Arabidopsis thaliana: one gene and its partners. The protein of the gene in region 2 interacts with the protein of the main gene of each other region in a pairwise test. Each region holds a gene or a part of one and is shown on either strand. Other genes may lie near its edges.

Region 1 (7,954 bases), on a different chromosome or scaffold from region 2:
TAGGCACTTACTGTTTCACTTCTTGTGTCTGTAGAAAGCTTCACGTCCTCCACAGGATAGGACAATGGTAGTTGCTAGTCTTGCTGAGGTTGCTCAAGACATGGGTCTTCCAATCTCTTCCTATGTTGATGTACGTTTCCTCATCTGATGTTCTCTATGATTGGTGTTTGAGCCTTATTAAACCAACTATTGGGGGTAATTCTCTTGCAGAGATTAATGCCTTTGGTGCTCAAAGAGTTGGGGTCACCAGAAGCAACCAATAGAAGGAATGCAGCTTTCTGTGTTGGAGAGCTATGCAAAAACGGGGGTGAAACTGCTCTTAAGTATCCTTTTCGTGTTACATGCTTCAACTCTACTCTAGTCGTAAAGACTTTTATCCATTGATTTCTATGCTCATTCATCGTCCTTCTGTTTTGGAAGAATATGAGAATTGTCAGTCCATGCGATACTTGTCTCCCTTTGACTCAATACCAGATATTTTGGTGATGTGCTACGCGGAATTTCCCCACTTTTCGGGGATTCAGAACCAGACCTTGCTGTTAGGGATAATGCAGCAGGTGCTACCGCAAGGATGATTGTTGTTCATCCTCAACTAGTCCCGCTAAATCAAGTATGATCTAGGAGCTAGGCCATTTTCATGTATTTTTGCTTACTTCCTGAAACCTTATGAAACACGGTACTCATCCCTAAGTTATATAATCCAGGTACTTCCAGTGTTCTTAAGAGGTCTACCTCTAAAGGAAGATCAAGAGGAGTCCATGGCTGTTTACACCTGTATATATTCCCTTGTTTCGTCATCCAATCCACAGGTAGTTTTCTCAAGGCAATATTTTCACCTTTGGCTAAACATTACTAAGGTTAATTTGATAAAATTGTTTTGCTTGGATGCAAAATCAGATCTTCTCTCATGTTCCGGAGCTGGTTAAAATCTTTGGGCAAGTATTGGAGTCGCCAGTCGAAAAAGTTGAAGTGAAAGCAATTGTAGGCAGAACTTTCTCCCATCTAATCTCGGTTTATGGGAATCAGTTGCAGCCAATAATAAGTAGTCTACCGCCTTCTCAAGCTAACGTTCTCGCTGCGTTTGCATCCACGAGTTGATTGTCGCTTGTGATATATTTAATATCTCAGAAGCGAAAACTGTCTTCAGCTTTTGTTTTTCTTTTGAAGTCTATTCTTTGCTCAATTGAGTCTCAAATCTTGTTTTTTTTTCTTCTTCTTTCCTAAATATCCAATTTTAGCATTTGAGGGTAAGTGGGTGTATTCCTGTTTTGGCTTGGCTATATGTTCCTTACTTCAGAGTTTCGTCCTCATTGTTTATTTCATTTTCTCCACTTATTTATAGTCTTCAATTCAAAGTTTGCAAGCTTTGAGTGGATCAGTGGAGTATCTGTATTTGTATTTTGACATACAATATTTTATTTTGGCCTTGATAAAATTGAGTATACATAATTGCAAATGAGTACGTACGTTATCTTCTTTGCCATCGCAAAACGAGGGCATCAACTATTTTGCATGAGCCTTTCCTAGTTCAACTATTTTGGTCCATGCACACGGAATTTTCTTTGAAACCTGTCCTCGGAGACAAACAAAACTTGCAGCTTTAGCAAATAGCCTGCGTCGACGACAGCTTCTTCTTCTTCATGTTCGACGACGTCGTAGTCGTTGTCTTCTCCATTTCTTGTACTTGTTCTTTAGGGAAGGTGTTTTACTCTGGAAGATGGCGCAACAGATTAGGTTATATATTTGTTGGTCTTTCTGGGCCGTTGCGAAACGGCAAGAGTTTAATAGTTTTAGCTTTGTTAATGGGAAGTGGGAACTAAATCCTATTTGGCGGGAACGAGGCATGATTCGGGTGGTTGAACCGGAAATCAGTCGCGCAAAACTAAATAATAAATAATTGGTACGGAGATACGGTTTAGTGTGGTTTAATACAAAAACCAAATTTGGGATTCTGATGAAAAGCAAAGGAACCACCGTTCGTCGGCAAATTCAGTCGAATAGCGGAAGCTTGAGACTCTGATGAGAGTGTTGGGGTAGAGAGAAAGAGATCTGAGTTTTGTTTCCTTATTAGAGAGAGATGGGTTACGGATGGGGGATCTTCGAGGGAATGTTGGTGATTGGATCTCTGTGTCTCTTAGGATCGGCTGGTCTATGGTTTCTCAACCGGAGGCTTTACAAAGAGTACGAAGAGAAGCGAGCTTTGGTTCAAATCATTTTCAGCGTCGTCTTCGCCTTCTCTTGCAACCTTTTACAGCTTGTTCTCTTCGAAATCATCCCTGTTTTATCTAGAGAGTAAGCTTTCAAATTCGAGTAGCAAGTTTTGGTTTATAGATGGAATTTGTCATTTTACATAATATGAAAGTGTTGTGAATACAGTCATTGAGCTTCGGGAATTGCATCATTTTGATTTTAGACACCAATAATTTCTTTTTATCATGACACCATTAGTACTTTCTATTGAGGTTTATCTTTGTTTGCAGGGCAAGGATGGTAAACTGGAAGGTGGATCTCTTTTGTTTGATAGTGCTCCTTGTTTTCATGTTACCTTATTATCATTGCTATTTGATGCTTCGTAACACTGGTAAGCCTTTTCCTTGCTATCGATGTTCTTCATCTTTCCTTTTCTTTTCAGGCTTCCTAGGAATTATTAAAATGGTTTGTATGTTATATGATGGACGATCTATTGCTTTATCAATTTATCTTTTAGAAATAGTATGAGGCCTGATAATTGACATTCTGTTACATTTTGGGATTAAATTTATTTGCTGATGAATATGTATAAGCAATTTTTCATTGCCTTATGGCGTTAATCCTTCCTTCTTTCGTTTTTTTGATTAAACATCGTAGCACCACATGTTACAGAAATTTGATTTGGCTGTTGTTAATTTTTATATTTACCTAAAACCATCATTTCAGGTGTAAGAAGAGAGCGTGCTGCTGTTGGGGCCTTGTTATTCTTGACAGCGTTCCTTTATGCTTTCTGGCGCATGGGAATACATTTTCCTATGCCTTCAGACAAAGGTACCTCTTGAGTTTATGCACCCTCTTTCTCCTTTCAACTCTGTATAAGCAAGAAGGAAGTTGAAGTTGAAGTTAGATCTTATTAACATTATTATGAACAATGTGTACTTCTGGATGTGTGGAGTAGGGTATGTTGTTTTAAATTGAAATGAGAATCTGAGCATGTTGACACTGACTATGATTGCCTGACTGTAGAAAATACCGTCAGAAGAAATTCGCAGGGTCAATCATCCTCCCTTCTTTATGCTTGTGACAGTAGCTTTTGTATATACAAACGCTTTTGGTTCTTTTTATTTTAAATGCTTAAGATCTTGTCACCCACTTGTTGGACTACTTTACTTAAACACCCTTTTATCTTGAAAGGTTTCTTTTCAATGCCTCAGCTGGTCAGCAGAATCGGGGTCATTGGTGTGACCCTCATGGCCGTCTTATCGGGTTTTGGAGCTGTAAATTTGCCCTACAGTTATATATCGCTCTTTATTAGGTACTTCCCTCTATAATTGCTAGTAGATTTTCTTCTTCTACCTTGTGCGTTATTCTTATTGCAAATGGTTTTGAGGATTTTGATTCGAAGTAGTTGAACTCTGAATGAAGCTTTTCATCTTCTGTGATGTAAATGGATCTACACTGATAGAAGAGCAGCTGGATTGGGAAATTTGTGATCTAACTGCACGTTTTCCTGTCTCTCTTTCTCTCTGGAAACATATAGGGAGATTGAAGAATCAGAAATAAAATCGCTGGAAAGGCAACTGATGCAATCAATGGAGACTTGCATAGCTAAGAAGAAGAAAATTCTTTTATGTCAAGTTGAGGTGGAACGAAGTCTAGTATCAGAAGAGGTATGATTCTGTCTTATATATTAGCGTACGCAATACGTGATTGTACCTTAGATTTTTATACTCTTTAACATTCTGTATTGGGTTAGGATTCGTATCAGATCTGTTTATTTCTGTACTTCTGTATCAAAATGCTCTTCAGACTCTGAAATGACCCCCTTTTTTTTCCTTTATCAAAATACTTCCTTATCCATGCATCAGTTTGAATGCCATAGACTGATAAGAGATATTTCGTAATTATGCTTTTTCTAATTCTGAAATTAGCTTAGGAAGTAATCATCTGGTGCTTTTGGCTTCCAGCATCAAAAGGGTAAATCTTTCTTTAGAAGATTTGTCGGGACTGTTGTGCGGTCGGTTCAAGATGACCAAAAGGAGCAAGGTCAGTTTATATAATTTAGTTTTAGACGCAGTTGTGCCTGCACAACATTATCTCTCTACGAGTGATCTTACATGTGCATTATCTTTGTCTCTCTTTTGTGAAATAAACCATCTGAATTGTCACCTTGTCTCTGTGAGCTGGAAAAATCTAGATGACTTGAAAGTATGTTGGTTTCTCATGAGCTCCTTACTCTATGTCTTGCTTGCCAGTTGTAAAGAGCAGAACGAAAAATAAAGTACAGACTACTCTGATTTTTTTTTATTATTTTCGCGTCATCAGGAAATCATCATCCACCGTTAGGAAAATGTTGAATATTGTAGTAGGAAACAGAGAACTAAGATTCTTAAGAATGTAAAGCACGAGGATGGTTTGCTCATGTTTGGTGGTGTTGGCTAGAGTAGAAAGAGAATGAGGTTACAGTACTTTTACTATTTAGTTGTGGCGATGTACTAGTAGTTCAGTGGTTAAACCAACAACATGAAGAAAAAGAAGAATTGCAGAACAGTAGCTTTCTTACCAAAGAGGGGTACTTACATAAAAACTTTACGGTACAAATGAGACCTTTAATTTAGTAAAGAAGTATTCGAGTGACTTGAGATCAGTTCAGCTCGTCTATTGTTGGGATAATAAAGTTGTTGAGTTATTACAGTTTTCCCCCTGTTGCCAGATCATAGGTAGCATAGGACTACTTATTTTCCTTTTAACATTTTATGTGTGCATACACATAATAAGATGAGATCTAAGTTCTATACTTTCTAGTGATATCTCCCTAAATTCATGAATGTTTTTCTTATGCAGATATAAAACTAATGGAGGCAGAGGTGGAAGGTTTAGAAGAGCTGTCAAAGCAGCTATTCTTGGAAATTTATGAACTCCGCCAAGCAAAGGTTCCCTTCCAGTACTTTTCCGTTAATTTTTAATTTAAATACCGAATTTACTCATCAGCATGGCAATGACATCTTCGACTAAATTACTTATTACCTAGGTTATTACCTGGTGGTCTTGTTACGTAGTAATATAAACATTTGATAAGCACTTATCTTACTTCATTTCATTTGCAGGATGCTGCTGCTTTTTCTCGAACTTGGAAGGGTCATGTGCAGAACTTTCTTGGCTATGCGTGTTCCATTTACTGTGTGTATAAGATGTTAAAGGTTTGTTTTGTCTTTATGTGAGGTGCTAGCCTTTAGTAATTTTAACTCTATGTTATCCTAGCATTGCAAGACTATGTCAAACTCTTCCGCATGGATGTGACAATGGCAGTGTTAGTTTTTGTTATAGATTGATGCAGAGTTCAAAAATTAAGGAGTTTCTTTGTCTGAACTTCTTTACTTCTTTGAAAAGAGAGCTGTTCTGAGACCAGTAATGGTTTATTAGATGAAAATATCTCCTATATCTCTTGTCAAATGTTTTGTCTATTGTAAGTTTGTAACTGTGAACTAGTATTTCTAACTTCTCTATTTTTCGTTTGTCTTATCTGCAGTCTCTACAAAGTGTCGTTTTCAAGGAGGTATTCTCTTGTCCATGTTTTCTTATACACTTTACAATAAATTCTTGCAGCGTTATCATCATTTGTTTACTTTTTACGACATGGAATAGTGATTAGCTTGTTTACAGGCGGGCACGAAAGATCCTGTCACGATGATGATCAGCATATTCTTGCAGTTCTTTGATATAGGAGTAGATGCAGCATTGCTCTCACAGGTTTGTGTGACTTTGGATTTTTGTTGTATGGAGTAGTAGATTCAAAGAATTGCAAGCAGGCTTGTTAATATTCTTTCTCCTTACAACATATCGTCCAGATGAAAAGCTATAGGATTATTGTTTCTCAATTAATAACTCTAGTTTCATAGGGCCTTTGATGGGATGTGAATTTTCTCATTTCTTAGACCTTGTTACACTAGATGGCTTTTTATCTTGATGCTTATATGGTTCTCAACTTACCTTATGTAGGTCTGATGCTCTCTCTTTGTTTATTATTTTCAGTATATTTCCCTGTTATTTATTGGGATGTTGATCGTGATATCAGTGAGGGGATTCTTGACGAATCTGATGAAGGTGAGTTCTGATTTCAGCTTTTAAATTTCTCCCATTCGTCTTTATACGATCTTGTATGTTATCCACTTGTTTTGGAGCTATATAGTGTCAATGGAAAACTTGCTCTGGCATTATCATGTTTAAATATTAGACGGAGGCTTTCACTTCTTTTAGCTGGTGCTAACTTTCCTTGTGACAGTCACATAGTTACTTAAGCAAAGTATATATGATGTATATCCTAAGAGTGGAAGATGTAGAGTGATTGAATTAACGTATTTGTTGCAGTAGCATTACAGAACAACTCAATGTAATTTCAGTCTGATCATAAAAACAGAGGCTACTTTCTTGGTTGGCATTAGTATAGTGATTTTACATCTAAGTAATTGTAACTCGCAATATACTGAAAGCTTTTGTTTTGAATACTGTTAAACGTTTTGGTGATTGAATTGGGGAGTTTTTTTTCAATTCGCTTGTACAGTTCTTCTTTGCAGTGTCGAGGGTTGGAAGTGGATCTTCAAGCAATGTTGTGCTCTTCCTATCAGAAATCATGGGAATGTACTTTTTGTCTTCCATTCTTCTTATAAGAAAAAGCTTGAGAAATGAGTACAGGTACGTAAGATAATACTATAACAATAATTACAACCGTTCTTCTGTTGAAAAGATGAAATGTGGATTATAATCGAATGGTGTTTTTGTTGGCACAGAGGGATAATAACAGATGTATTAGGCGGAGATATTCAGTTTGATTTCTATCATCGATGGTTTGATGCAATATTCGTGGCTAGCGCTTTTCTTTCTCTGCTTCTGCTTTCTGCGCACTACACATCTCGTCAAATTGATAAGCACCCAATAGACTAAGCAAGCATCTGTGAGTTCCCTTGCAAATGAGGTGGTTGATTAAATTTTGATCTAGATGAAAAACTTGAAACAATGACCACTACTTAGCGTTGACTTATGTACATTTTCTTGCTTTGAAAGGATCAGTCTTGAGTTGTTGTTTTTTTTTCTTCCTCAGGTGTGTGTGATTAGTTGTAAAGAGAATGAGACTTTGGGGTTTTACCATTCAATAATATATATCTGATATAAAATTCAATAGATCTCTACCTTATTTATATGCATACATTATTTTTCATGCAGTACTTTAAGAAACACATACACACACAAAAAAGAAAGGAAAAGAAAAAGAAAAAGAGTAGTGGCCACAATGATTTAATGAGGCATTAACCGAAAATGACTGTTTTTTTTTTTTGGTTGATTCGGTGTGAGAGATTATTGTGGTAGAGAAGGAGTTGGTACGTGTGTTAGGTTCAATATCTGCTTCGGTTGATTATATGCATGTAATTGACTTCAATGTCACATTGTATCCAGTCCAAGGATTTTCAATTCCAAAATACATTCATAGAAAACAACGAAGATAAATCTAAAGAAATATATATATAGAATAATTTACAACTTCTTAGTGCAGTAGTAGTGCATAGGTTGAGAACAAATTTACATTCTCTAGGAATGAGATAACCTCTGTCATCTGATCACCAAGAGTCACTGCCGCCAATAAAGAGAAATGTATCCTTCGTTTTGTCGTAATCTTGATCCTATATTAATCTCATTTCTTAATCGTTACTTTTTATTTGTGAAATAGGTTAAATCAACTGTTACTTACATTATACAAAATCATGAAGGA
Region 2 (6,465 bases):
TTGAACCATTGATTTTGTTACTCTTAACTAAATAATCATTTATTCAATAACTAAAGGTCGGTTGGTCTTCAGGTACGAACGTTCTTCTATACTAACTTGTAAATTGTAAACGTAACAGATTGTGCAGTAGAGATTGCGGTTACAAATGTTTGACAACGATCACAAAAATTGTTTAACACCGCGTATTCTTCCGCCAACGTTTGCGGCAGCGGGTGGTTAAAAATTACACTATTTTTAAGTTTTAAATTCAAATAAATTTAATAACTTTTTTGACTCTTGGAGTCATGCTCTGAACACAAATGATTCATTTTCCGGAGAACATAAGTGCATTGTATCCGTCTAATCGTCCCAACATACTTCACTATAAATGTAATTTAATACTAACAATTAAATTGAAGTGTTGTTCGTCGCATGCATGTATGTACGTACAATAATTATATAGTTTCATTATCATAGAACTGTCGGGGAAATTGTGAATCATCACCAGCCGCCACATGAACTTATTTGCCGTTGTTCTGGTTTAAGGCTGGTAAGATTTATTCGGCGGCTGTAGGCCTGTAGCCCTTGAAATATGGTAGACAAGATCGTCCATATAATTAAGATTTTGTTTTTCACTTCTAAATTAATTAATGGGTGACTTGGGCGATTTTGTATTGTTGTTTAGTGGCTAGAAAGAAAACTTTTAACGATAAATTTACTTATGCAAAAATTATATTAGTTTAGTTTAGCAACTTTATATGTACTTAATTAGTAAAATAATACATTTAAATGTAAACTATTTGTACATATTAATGTTGTCCAAACAATATGCACTTTTTGAATTTTTTTACTGTATTCTCCACCTAGTTTTTCTAATTCATCCAAGCATTTTGATGAATTTGCATGTCTCCATAGATGAATTAGTATCTACTATCTCTAAAAACTCAATCTCCACCGAAGATATTGCTTAACCAATGTGCTCCTAGACCAAATCCAAAACCTTAGCCGCTTCATACTTAACATCCACTTTTGTAGCATCCTCAAACTGTTTTACAACCTTTTCAACCGGGACACAATCGCCTTGTCTTAGTAGTGAAGCGTAGGTTAATCATGGATGATGATTTTTGTTCTTTGACAACATCTGGTAAGGTTTTTGGTTTATGGCTCACCCTTTTTACTTTTTCGGTCTTTCTTATATAGTGTTTTGGTGGGTTTTTTCTCGTTCATTTTTCACGACCTTCTTATCCTATTACTAGGGTCATTAAATTGTTCGTTAGGTTAAAGAGATTTACAATATGAAACCGATTATGTCCATTAAAACGTGAATAAGACAGAAAAGAGCACCAAGAAAATGAAAAATAATTTAATGTATGTTCAGGAAATCCTATGAAAACATAATGATTGATCGGGTTTATTGGTTTTGTAGCTGGTGGTTTAAGTGGTTAGGGAAGCTATGTATTTATAATTTATTGATTCAATATGGTTTTGCATCTGAAATATATTTAAGCCCAACCAATAAATATACCATCACTCGCCAAGACCGTTTCTCAGTGGAAACATTTTGTGAGAAGTTCAAGTCGATGTTAATGATTGTAAGGATTTAACGGATGTGATGTTTTTGTAGGTTGAAGATTTAAAGTACTATATGATATGTTGTGTTTTTATCGATTTTGAATCTTTATTTTCTTTCCTAAATCAAAACTGCAATATATTTCCTAAGCTAGCAAAACCCATTCTAGATATAAGTAGAGTCCAGCTTGTAATGCAACTGCAAAGCAAAAATCAAGATATTTCGATACAAGGACTTGATGTCATAAAATTCCAAATTTGTTTTGTCTTGCCACACTTAGTAATTCTCTTCCAATAATGGTTAACTTAATAGTATATAAAATAAAAATGCATATAGGTTCCGTAATTAATCTTCTTTATCGTCACGAGAGGCACATCTTTTTTCAACATTTGACCACTCTCTCTCTCTCTCTCTCAGGACCTTTCGGCGTAATTTCGTCTTCCCCTTTGCTTAACATTTTCTTTCTTTCTTTTTGACCAAATATTAAAAATATATCCATTTTTATTTTATTTTTAATTAAATTCATAATTTGCATTTTATGTATTTATAATAAAAAGGAGAGAATAAATCCAAAAGAGTGAAGCAAAAACATTAAAGCGGAAAGAAAGTGGTAAAACAATAATAGAAACAGGAGAAGCAGAAGTACTACTTCTTCTTCTTCTGCTCTCTTCTCAGACCTTGTTTTGTACTTTCTTCTTCTTCTTCTTCTTCTTGTTTGCGAACTCCGATATCTTCTTCACTACCTTTGACTCCATTTCTTTTTCTTCTTCAGGTGAATTCTACTTTACTTTTCTTCTTACCCCAAATTTACTCTTTTGGGTTTTATGAAAGTTTTGTTTTTTATTACTCAGATCTTGTCCTAGTTCTCCTCCTTGTTCTGTTGTTTTTCTGTTTCGTTTCGAATTGGTTTTGTTTTTCAAGTTTAGGGTTTTGTAGATCAGTTCGTCGTTACTGTAGATTGGAAATGAAAATTATGATTCTTTGGATCTGATTATAGCAGTTCAAGTGTGAACTCTATCTATTACTTGATTTGCTATCTCACAGTTTTTGAATTTCTTAATGGTGTTAGCTACTCGACTTTTAGAGCTCATTTTCTTAACTACTGAACTTGTTTCATTTGAGAGGTACTAATCCAGTATATATTATAAAGTTTAATGCTTTTTCTTACTTGCATTCTTTGAACATGTTTGCTATTTTGGTGAGTGAAACTTTATGTATATTTATGAATTTTGAGCTAAAGTATTGATTGTTTCATAAGTAGGTGTAGGCATTGTCTTGTTATGAGAAGCAACTGTAGCTGGAAGCTCAAGTATTTGTTTTTAGCTGTGGAGCTTGAATCTTGATAGTTTTCGACTTCTATGTTATTACCTGTGGGGATATAGAAACAATCATGGGCTTACTCTGCAGTAGAAGTCGACATCATACTGAAGATACTGATGAGAATACACAGGTTGACTTAAGAGCTCTTGTAACACTCGATGTATGGGAGCATTATTTCTGATACTTCAAGAGTTAACTTGGTTTGTATTAATCTACAGGCTGCTGAAATCGAAAGACGGATAGAGCAAGAAGCAAAGGCTGAAAAGCATATTCGGAAGCTTTTGCTACTTGGTATGTAGACCTTGGATTAGAAATGTGAATGGCATGCCTTGATGAATCTTTTGGTAATAGTTTTCCTCTAATTTTCTGACTTGTGTTTTGTAAAGGTGCTGGGGAATCTGGAAAATCTACAATTTTTAAGCAGGCAAGTCCACAAGGAAAATTGATTGTACTCTTTACTTAAATTTACTTATGAATCCTGCTAATTGAATGATACAAATTTACTAATTTGCAGATAAAACTTCTATTCCAAACGGGATTTGATGAAGGAGAACTAAAGAGCTATGTTCCAGTCATTCATGCCAATGTCTATCAGACTATAAAAGTATGCAATACTTGAAATGACTGTGTCGGTTTTATCCTTCTAATTGGCGGTGTTTTCGAGTTCTTTTGGATTTACAATCTAGAGAATCATTTATATGAGTAATCAAATTTTTTTCATATGTTGATCTTGGTATATTGTACATGTAGCTTAATAGCTACTCTATATTGTTGAACAGTTATTGCATGATGGAACAAAGGAGTTTGCTCAAAATGAAACAGATTCTGCTAAATATATGTTATCTTCTGAAAGTATTGTAAGTGGTTAGATTCATAGGTCACTTGAGCTGTCTTTGTTAGAGTTTTGAGTCTTGTGAGTACCTTGTCTTATGGTAGTCAACTTATTATCGTAATATCAGGCAATTGGGGAGAAACTATCTGAGATTGGTGGTAGGTTAGACTATCCACGTCTTACCAAGGACATCGCTGAGGGAATAGAAACACTATGGAAGGATCCTGCAATTCAGGTGTGTTTGTGTGTGTGTGTGCACGTTTTATTTACTATTGCACTCAAAGTTGAATACATGATTTAAACGTTTCATTTTGTAGGAAACTTGTGCTCGTGGTAATGAGCTTCAGGTTCCTGATTGTACGAAATATCTGATGGAGAACTTGAAGAGACTATCAGATATAAATTATATTCCAACTAAGGTATAACCAAAGTATCATTCTTTGTTGAAAACATTTCAAGTAATGATCTTAAAATGGTTGAATAAAACTCATTGGATCAGCCTCGGAGGATCAATGTATTAACAAACAGAAGCCTTTTGCTTTCCATATTAGCCTAGTTGAGCTAGCATTTTCAGAGACCAGAGTCAATATGCAATTTCTGTGACATGTGTCTTCCGGAATGTGTTGTCATTGGTGCATTTTTTCTATGTTGGTGTTTCAGGAGGATGTACTTTATGCAAGAGTTCGCACAACTGGTGTCGTGGAAATACAGTTCAGGTACCAACTACTTTTTGTTTTACCCTTTTTCCTGTTTGATTGTTAGTCTTTCATAGATGAGTAATTGTTTGATAAGCTCTAAGTGTTAGTCTGGTTCACTAGGCAATATGATTAGCTAGGCGGTTTGTAGTAGCTGTGTTAACAGCTCAGCAACAATCTTGTTAATGTAGTCTCTCTGCGATGTGTAAGTTATTTGGTGAAATGAATAAAAGTGTTTACGGATTCGATTCCTATGATTGCCACTAAGATGTACTAATAGAACATATGAATTCCATACCAATATCAAACTTGTTGTTGTGGTGAATCTACTTGTAATGATCCGTTACCAAAGATGAATTCACAAATGGTATATGAGATAAAGCTTCGTTTATGCAGCCCTGTGGGAGAGAATAAAAAAAGTGGTGAAGTGTACCGATTGTTTGACGTGGGTGGACAGAGAAATGAGAGGAGGAAATGGATTCATCTGTTTGAAGGTGTAACAGCTGTGATATTTTGTGCTGCCATCAGCGAGTAAGCTCACTTCATTATAAATTATAAGATATCCTCGTACTGTCCACATATTGCCAAAACATTAACTGAGTTTTGATCATAGGTACGACCAAACGCTCTTTGAGGACGAGCAGAAAAACAGGATGATGGAGACCAAGGAATTATTCGACTGGGTCCTGAAACAACCCTGTTTTGAGGTTTTTAGTTACATTTTTATCTCATCTTTTAAAAATTTAAAGACACTCTTGAGATGGGTTTGGTTACAAAAACTTGGTTCTCTTTACGCAGAAAACATCCTTCATGCTGTTCTTGAACAAGTTCGACATATTTGAGAAGAAAGTTCTTGACGTAAGAAGAACTAAAGCATATTTATTTGTTTTGATAGGCAAGCAAGTCTTTTTGTTCAATAACGCTTTCTTATTCAATGTGCATAGGTTCCGTTGAACGTTTGCGAGTGGTTCAGAGATTACCAACCAGTTTCAAGTGGGAAACAAGAGATTGAGCATGCATACGAGTAAGCTTGTCTCCAAACTTTACTGATTCCCGCCAAACTGTTACCGTTATATGACCTTATTTTTAATTTGGATTCAGGTTTGTGAAGAAGAAGTTTGAGGAGTTATATTACCAGAACACGGCGCCGGATAGAGTGGACAGGGTATTCAAAATCTACAGGACGACGGCTTTGGACCAGAAGCTTGTAAAGAAAACGTTCAAGCTCGTAGATGAGACACTAAGAAGGAGAAATTTACTGGAGGCTGGCCTTTTATGACCTTATTATTACATATCTCTAGTAAATTACCTCTCCTTATTATTATAAGAAAAACTCGAAAACTGAATGACCGTGTAATTTATCTTTCGGGACAAAAGACTTAGCGATTCAAAATCTAATGTGTCTCGATGGCTACGACTAGTTTCTATTTTATCATTGTTTTTGTTAACATTCCTCTGTCTTTGACTTCTTATTTTTTTTTCTCATCAAAAACATCTCATTTTGATCTTGTTTTTGGGGTTATATTATTATTAAAATGAGGCATCCACATCCCGAAATCTAGAAAGTGAAACACAACACAAAACGTAACTTTATCAGTACTAAAAAGTTTTGGAATGTTCCTAACATGAAAAAGTTCTTACATTAAAAAAAAGTATGGGGGTGAAACTGAACAAATACAAAATATGATGTAAAAACTGAAATAAAAGTAAAACACATGGGGTCTACCGTGATTTCAGAACATTCGAAAAAGCGACTTTAAAAATAATTGCACCGAAGAAAGAAGAACCCTGAAAGCAAAAAACTCTTCGCCGTTGTTGTTTCTTACGTCAAAGAATATTCCTTCTTCTCTTTCGTTAATAGATCCCAAAAAAAAAAAAAAGCTTCATTGATTCTTCTTCCTCTGTTTTTGATTCCGTTTTCGAGCAATCCTCTGAAACATGTATGTTGTTGTTCTCTCTTTCTTCCAATGGTGTTCTGATTTTGCTTTTTCTGTTATACGATAATGATAACAATCGCTTCTTAGTTTGATTAATACGAAACTCTCAAAGATCACGAAATTGGTTTTGTT
Region 3 (4,158 bases), on a different chromosome or scaffold from region 2:
AGTTCTAAGATTCATTTGGTTATATCTTTTGCTTGCAAATAAGAGATTAATCAATGATACCTGGTTTGGAGATACGTATAACGGGTTCTCATAAAGAGTAGGACCTCCAAAGCTGCCCGCGAATATCTTGATTGGATTCAGACAAAACCTTGGACCAACCTGTTGTCAATAGTGTATCCATTTCAATCAAAAACCATGGTCGAAAGACTATTATTAAAAGTTTGTAACTCTTTGTCCACAAACCTCGATAAGGGTCATTTTATCCAGGCCACCTTTTGCAATTTTATCTGACTCATTGTGAGGAACCGAAATCTGGTAATTTCGGAACCATATATGCTCATCAACAATTGAAAAGACAAATACATGGTCATGGTAAGGCTTAGATTTCCTGTGTTCCTTAGGAATTCCGAAGACCTGAGAGATAAACAAAACAAAACTAATTAGGATGTGAAAGTCTTGAGAACTAATGGACCAAAAACATTATCCAAGGATATGAATCTGGCAACAACCTGAGTAAGCATCTCCTTCAAGAGTTTCCAGTGCGCATCTTTATCAAAATTGGATGAGAATGTCAAAAGTGGACGTGACCCTTTGAGATGATTTCCAGTGAGTTTCATCTCTTCCATTGCGTGCACTTCAATATACAGAGAACAAAAGTAAAAATCCTTTTACCAAAAAATACATAGTTACAGAAACAGAACTCAGATATAGAACAAGACACAAGCTGATTGAACCCATCATAGCTAAATACGTGACTAGATCTATCAGCTCTTGCCACTTAAACTAAAGTCAGAGGATCTCGACTCTTACCAGCTTTAACCAAAAACTTCACAGATGGTCCATTAGGGGATTTGACCATCCACATGTAAAGATCTTTATGTTTCCTACACTGAAAATGGAAACATAAACAAATACAAATCAACCAATACATTCAGAGATTGTACATTTACATCAATATGCATATATTAAGCTTCCACAACAAACCAAACCCTAACAATTTGGGATAACTATCAAATTTTGATGACATGGAACAAATACTAAATACCAATAGAGTCAAAGATTGTCCATTTGCATCAATATGCATATACATAAGCTTCCATCGAGTATTCTAATCACAAGTTTCTGAGGTTTGACTTTTGAGTCAAACATTCCACAGTAAAGGAACAAATCTGACTACATGGAACAAAAACTAAGCCTAGAAATAAGTAAGATGGAAACTTTACCTCGAAGAACAAGCAGGAATTAGAATTCTTAAGCTCAATGAGCTCATTCAAAGTCGCGCCTTTGCTACTCTTTGCTTCAACTTTACTGTCTTTCTTACAGTGTGGTAGAAGTGAAACAATGTTCAACATCAAACTCCGATACCTTCACACAAAAATCCCCAATAAACAAATCAATTTCAAACCCTAAAAACGAAATCAAAACCAAAAGAAAGGAAACAAATTTAGCAATTTAAACTCAACCTGAAACTGATACGACGAGAACAAGTCACCAAAACCTTCTCTTTGTTCTTGAATCCAGATGAAGTCAAAGCTTTAGCTTTCTCAGCTTCACCTTCACTCTTATCTTTCCATCCCAATAGAGTCCTTTTGGGTCTATCCGGAGCAGGCTCATCGCTCTTTTTCACCGGCGCCGGAGCTTCCGTCTCACTGTGCTTCCGCTTCCTCCCCATTTTTTTGTTTTTCCGCGTAGAGACGTTTTCTCTAGGGTTTTAGCAAGTGTTTTAAGGTCAGAGACGAAACAGAGAGAAAAAATCATGGGCCGGTCATTATTGGGCTTAACTTAAGGCCCATTAATAATGGTAACGATGTGTCACTTCGTCACTTCGTCGTTAGTCTCTGTTCTTCGCGGTCCTCTGCAGCAACCGCTGAGAGAAAGAGAGATATGGGAGAACGGTTTTTCCGAAATGAGATGCCGGAGTTTGTACCGGAAGATTTATCCGGAGAAGAAGAAACTGTTACCGAATGTAAAGATTCGTTGACGAAACTGCTATCACTTCCGTACAAATCATTCTCAGAGAAGCTTCACAGATATGCTCTAAGCATCAAAGATAAAGTAACTCACTTTTCAATTTGATTATATATGATTTTGAGTTATAATGAAGTTATGTAGTTATAATGAATTTATGACTTTTCTTTAGTCTAGTGAAGTTGTGTTTTCTCTTGTTTGTGTGGTGATTCTGTTTTAGGTAGTCTGGGAGACATGGGAACGATCTGGAAAACGTGTTCGAGATTATAACTTGTATACTGGAGTTCTTGGGACAGCTTATCTCTTGTTCAAATCTTATCAGGTTACTAGAAATGAAGATGATCTTAAGCTATGCTTAGAGAATGTTGAAGCTTGTGATGTAGCTTCAAGAGATTCTGAGTAAGTGAATTTTCTTCAATGATCCAATTTTCATGAATTCATTTCGGGGTAATGATTGTGGTTTCTATCAGGCGAGTGACATTTATATGTGGCTATGCTGGTGTATGTGCTCTTGGTGCTGTTGCAGCGAAGTGTTTAGGTGATGACCAGTTATATGATCGTTACTTAGCCCGTTTCCGAGGGGTAATTACTAATTACAGTTTCTTTTGCTCTAGTGAAAATAGATAACTTGTTCTATACTTTGCTTGAGTGTTGCAACTTTGATCTGTTTAACAGATTAGGCTTCCTAGTGACTTGCCATATGAGTTGCTATATGGTAGAGCAGGATACTTGTGGGCGTGTTTGTTCTTGAATAAGCATATTGGTCAGGAGAGTATATCATCTGAACGAATGGTATAATAAAGTTATAAAATTTCTTTGGTTAATTGACTTACTCAAGAAAGTTCAAGATTTTATGATATCTCTATATCTTCAGAGATCAGTGGTTGAGGAAATCTTCAGGGCAGGAAGACAACTCGGGAATAAAGGAACTTGTCCATTGATGTATGAGTGGCACGGGAAGAGGTACTGGGGGGCTGCACACGGTTTAGCTGGGATCATGAATGTTTTGATGCATACGGAACTTGAACCAGATGAAATCAAAGATGTCAAAGGTACACTAAGCTATATGATACAAAACCGTTTTCCTAGCGGGAATTACCTATCTAGTGAAGGAAGCAAATCAGATCGCCTTGTTCACTGGTGTCACGGTGCTCCTGGTGTTGCTCTCACACTTGTAAAGGCAGCTCAGGTAATCATTTGTTGATTGAAGTACTCTTATCAGTAAGTAAAACCACAATGCAAAACTCATTTTCTGGATATCGTCAGGTTTATAACACTAAGGAATTTGTAGAGGCAGCAATGGAGGCAGGAGAAGTTGTGTGGAGCCGTGGATTGCTTAAACGAGTAGGAATCTGTCACGGTATCAGCGGAAACACATACGTGTTTCTTTCTCTATACCGGTTAACAAGAAACCCAAAGTATTTGTACCGCGCTAAAGCTTTCGCGTCTTTCCTACTCGATAAATCAGAGAAGTTAATCTCAGAAGGTCAAATGCATGGAGGAGATAGACCCTTCTCTCTCTTTGAAGGTATCGGAGGAATGGCCTACATGTTACTCGACATGAATGATCCAACACAAGCTCTGTTTCCAGGTTATGAACTCTAAAATGTATAAAACTTACACTGTAACAATAAGCTTAGATACTGAAATGTAGAATAGCTGTCTATATTAATAAGATTTTATACATCACAAGAAAACAAAAAAAAACAATTGTGATACAAGCAAGAAGCAAAATGACTAACATCATCAAATTTTAATATCCTATTGATCAGTGAGTGGATAAATGGACAAACTCATTCAGGGTTTAGCTTTTCTTGTTCTGGATCTCACTACTCACTAGTAATGTGGGGTTTGGTAACCGTCTCGGGCACGAGAATAGGAGATGTAATAGAACTGAGAGACAATAGCAGTGAAGAGAGCAAAGGAAGCACCAGCAGCAAACACTCCTTTACGGATCACTTCACAGCTAGGAGGGTTTTCGATGTTCCACATCCTTCTGTACGTAGTGTGGTACGCGTTTCTGATTGATCCCGCGAGCAAACATACCTCAGCAATCAAGAAAAACACCCTGTTCAAAACCAAGTGTAGAATGATGTGTCAAGTCAAAGTCATAAATTATAGAGATTGTGTTAAGTATAGAGTTTTACCAGCAAATAAGGAAGAGCATAATGCCACAAGCTCTTGAACCAC

Evidence for each region. Proteins that work in one complex are often made in the same cells at the same time.
Region 1: the proteins of GP ALPHA 1 (region 2) and GTG2 interact in a two-hybrid assay, tested with the Arabidopsis thaliana proteins (one study listed by BioGRID).
Region 3: the proteins of GP ALPHA 1 (region 2) and GPCR interact in binary tests that used the Arabidopsis thaliana proteins (3 or more experiments, as listed by UniProt).

The regions. Positions count from the first base shown.
Region 1 is NC_003075.7:13,791,157-13,799,110, reverse strand, and holds GTG2 (GPCR-type G protein 2), read left to right. Parts: upstream 1-1,954; 5' UTR 1,955-2,077; coding exon 2,078-2,292; intron 2,293-2,480; coding exon 2,481-2,581; intron 2,582-2,916; coding exon 2,917-3,021; exon of another isoform or gene 3,022-3,320; coding exon of another isoform or gene 3,321-3,384; coding exon 3,385-3,505; intron 3,506-3,730; coding exon 3,731-3,860; intron 3,861-4,157; coding exon 4,158-4,236; intron 4,237-4,838; coding exon 4,839-4,910; intron 4,911-5,034; coding exon 5,035-5,123; intron 5,124-5,297; coding exon 5,298-5,390; intron 5,391-5,719; coding exon 5,720-5,746; intron 5,747-5,853; coding exon 5,854-5,940; intron 5,941-6,222; coding exon 6,223-6,294; coding exon of another isoform or gene 6,295-6,318; exon of another isoform or gene 6,319-6,565; intron 6,566-6,751; coding exon 6,752-6,882; intron 6,883-6,977; coding exon 6,978-7,131; 3' UTR 7,132-7,141; exon of another isoform or gene 7,142-7,288; 3' UTR 7,289-7,469; downstream 7,470-7,954. Other genes in the region: AT4G27640 (ARM repeat superfamily protein), read left to right, coding at 35-130, 211-323, 475-610, 705-809, 898-1,098. UniProt on the Arabidopsis thaliana protein: Abscisic acid receptor. The GDP-bound form exhibits greater abscisic acid binding than the GTP-bound form. Required for seedling growth and fertility.
Region 2 is NC_003071.7:11,195,148-11,201,612, forward strand, and holds GP ALPHA 1 (G protein alpha subunit 1), read left to right. Parts: upstream 1-1,848; 5' UTR 1,849-2,321; exon of another isoform or gene 2,322-2,673; intron 2,674-2,810; 5' UTR 2,811-2,939; coding exon 2,940-2,999; intron 3,000-3,087; coding exon 3,088-3,160; intron 3,161-3,255; coding exon 3,256-3,293; intron 3,294-3,383; coding exon 3,384-3,473; intron 3,474-3,648; coding exon 3,649-3,726; intron 3,727-3,828; coding exon 3,829-3,936; intron 3,937-4,018; coding exon 4,019-4,120; intron 4,121-4,361; coding exon 4,362-4,417; intron 4,418-4,792; coding exon 4,793-4,927; intron 4,928-5,009; coding exon 5,010-5,103; intron 5,104-5,194; coding exon 5,195-5,254; intron 5,255-5,340; coding exon 5,341-5,420; intron 5,421-5,497; coding exon 5,498-5,675; 3' UTR 5,676-5,955; downstream 5,956-6,465. UniProt on the Arabidopsis thaliana protein: Exhibits a fast rate of basal nucleotide exchange. Guanine nucleotide-binding proteins (G proteins) are involved as modulators or transducers in various transmembrane signaling systems.
Region 3 is NC_003070.9:19,708,775-19,712,932, reverse strand, and holds GPCR (G protein coupled receptor), read left to right. Parts: upstream 1-1,851; 5' UTR 1,852-1,884; coding exon 1,885-2,055; intron 2,056-2,188; coding exon 2,189-2,367; intron 2,368-2,438; coding exon 2,439-2,550; intron 2,551-2,643; coding exon 2,644-2,760; intron 2,761-2,842; coding exon 2,843-3,157; intron 3,158-3,234; coding exon 3,235-3,573; 3' UTR 3,574-3,658; downstream 3,659-4,158. Other genes in the region: AT1G52930 (Ribosomal RNA processing Brix domain protein), read right to left, coding at 61-159, 244-414, 510-634, 811-889, 1,224-1,365, 1,464-1,672; AT1G52910 (fiber (DUF1218)), read right to left, coding at 3,805-4,036, 4,116-4,158. UniProt on the Arabidopsis thaliana protein: May play a role in abscisic acid (ABA) signaling.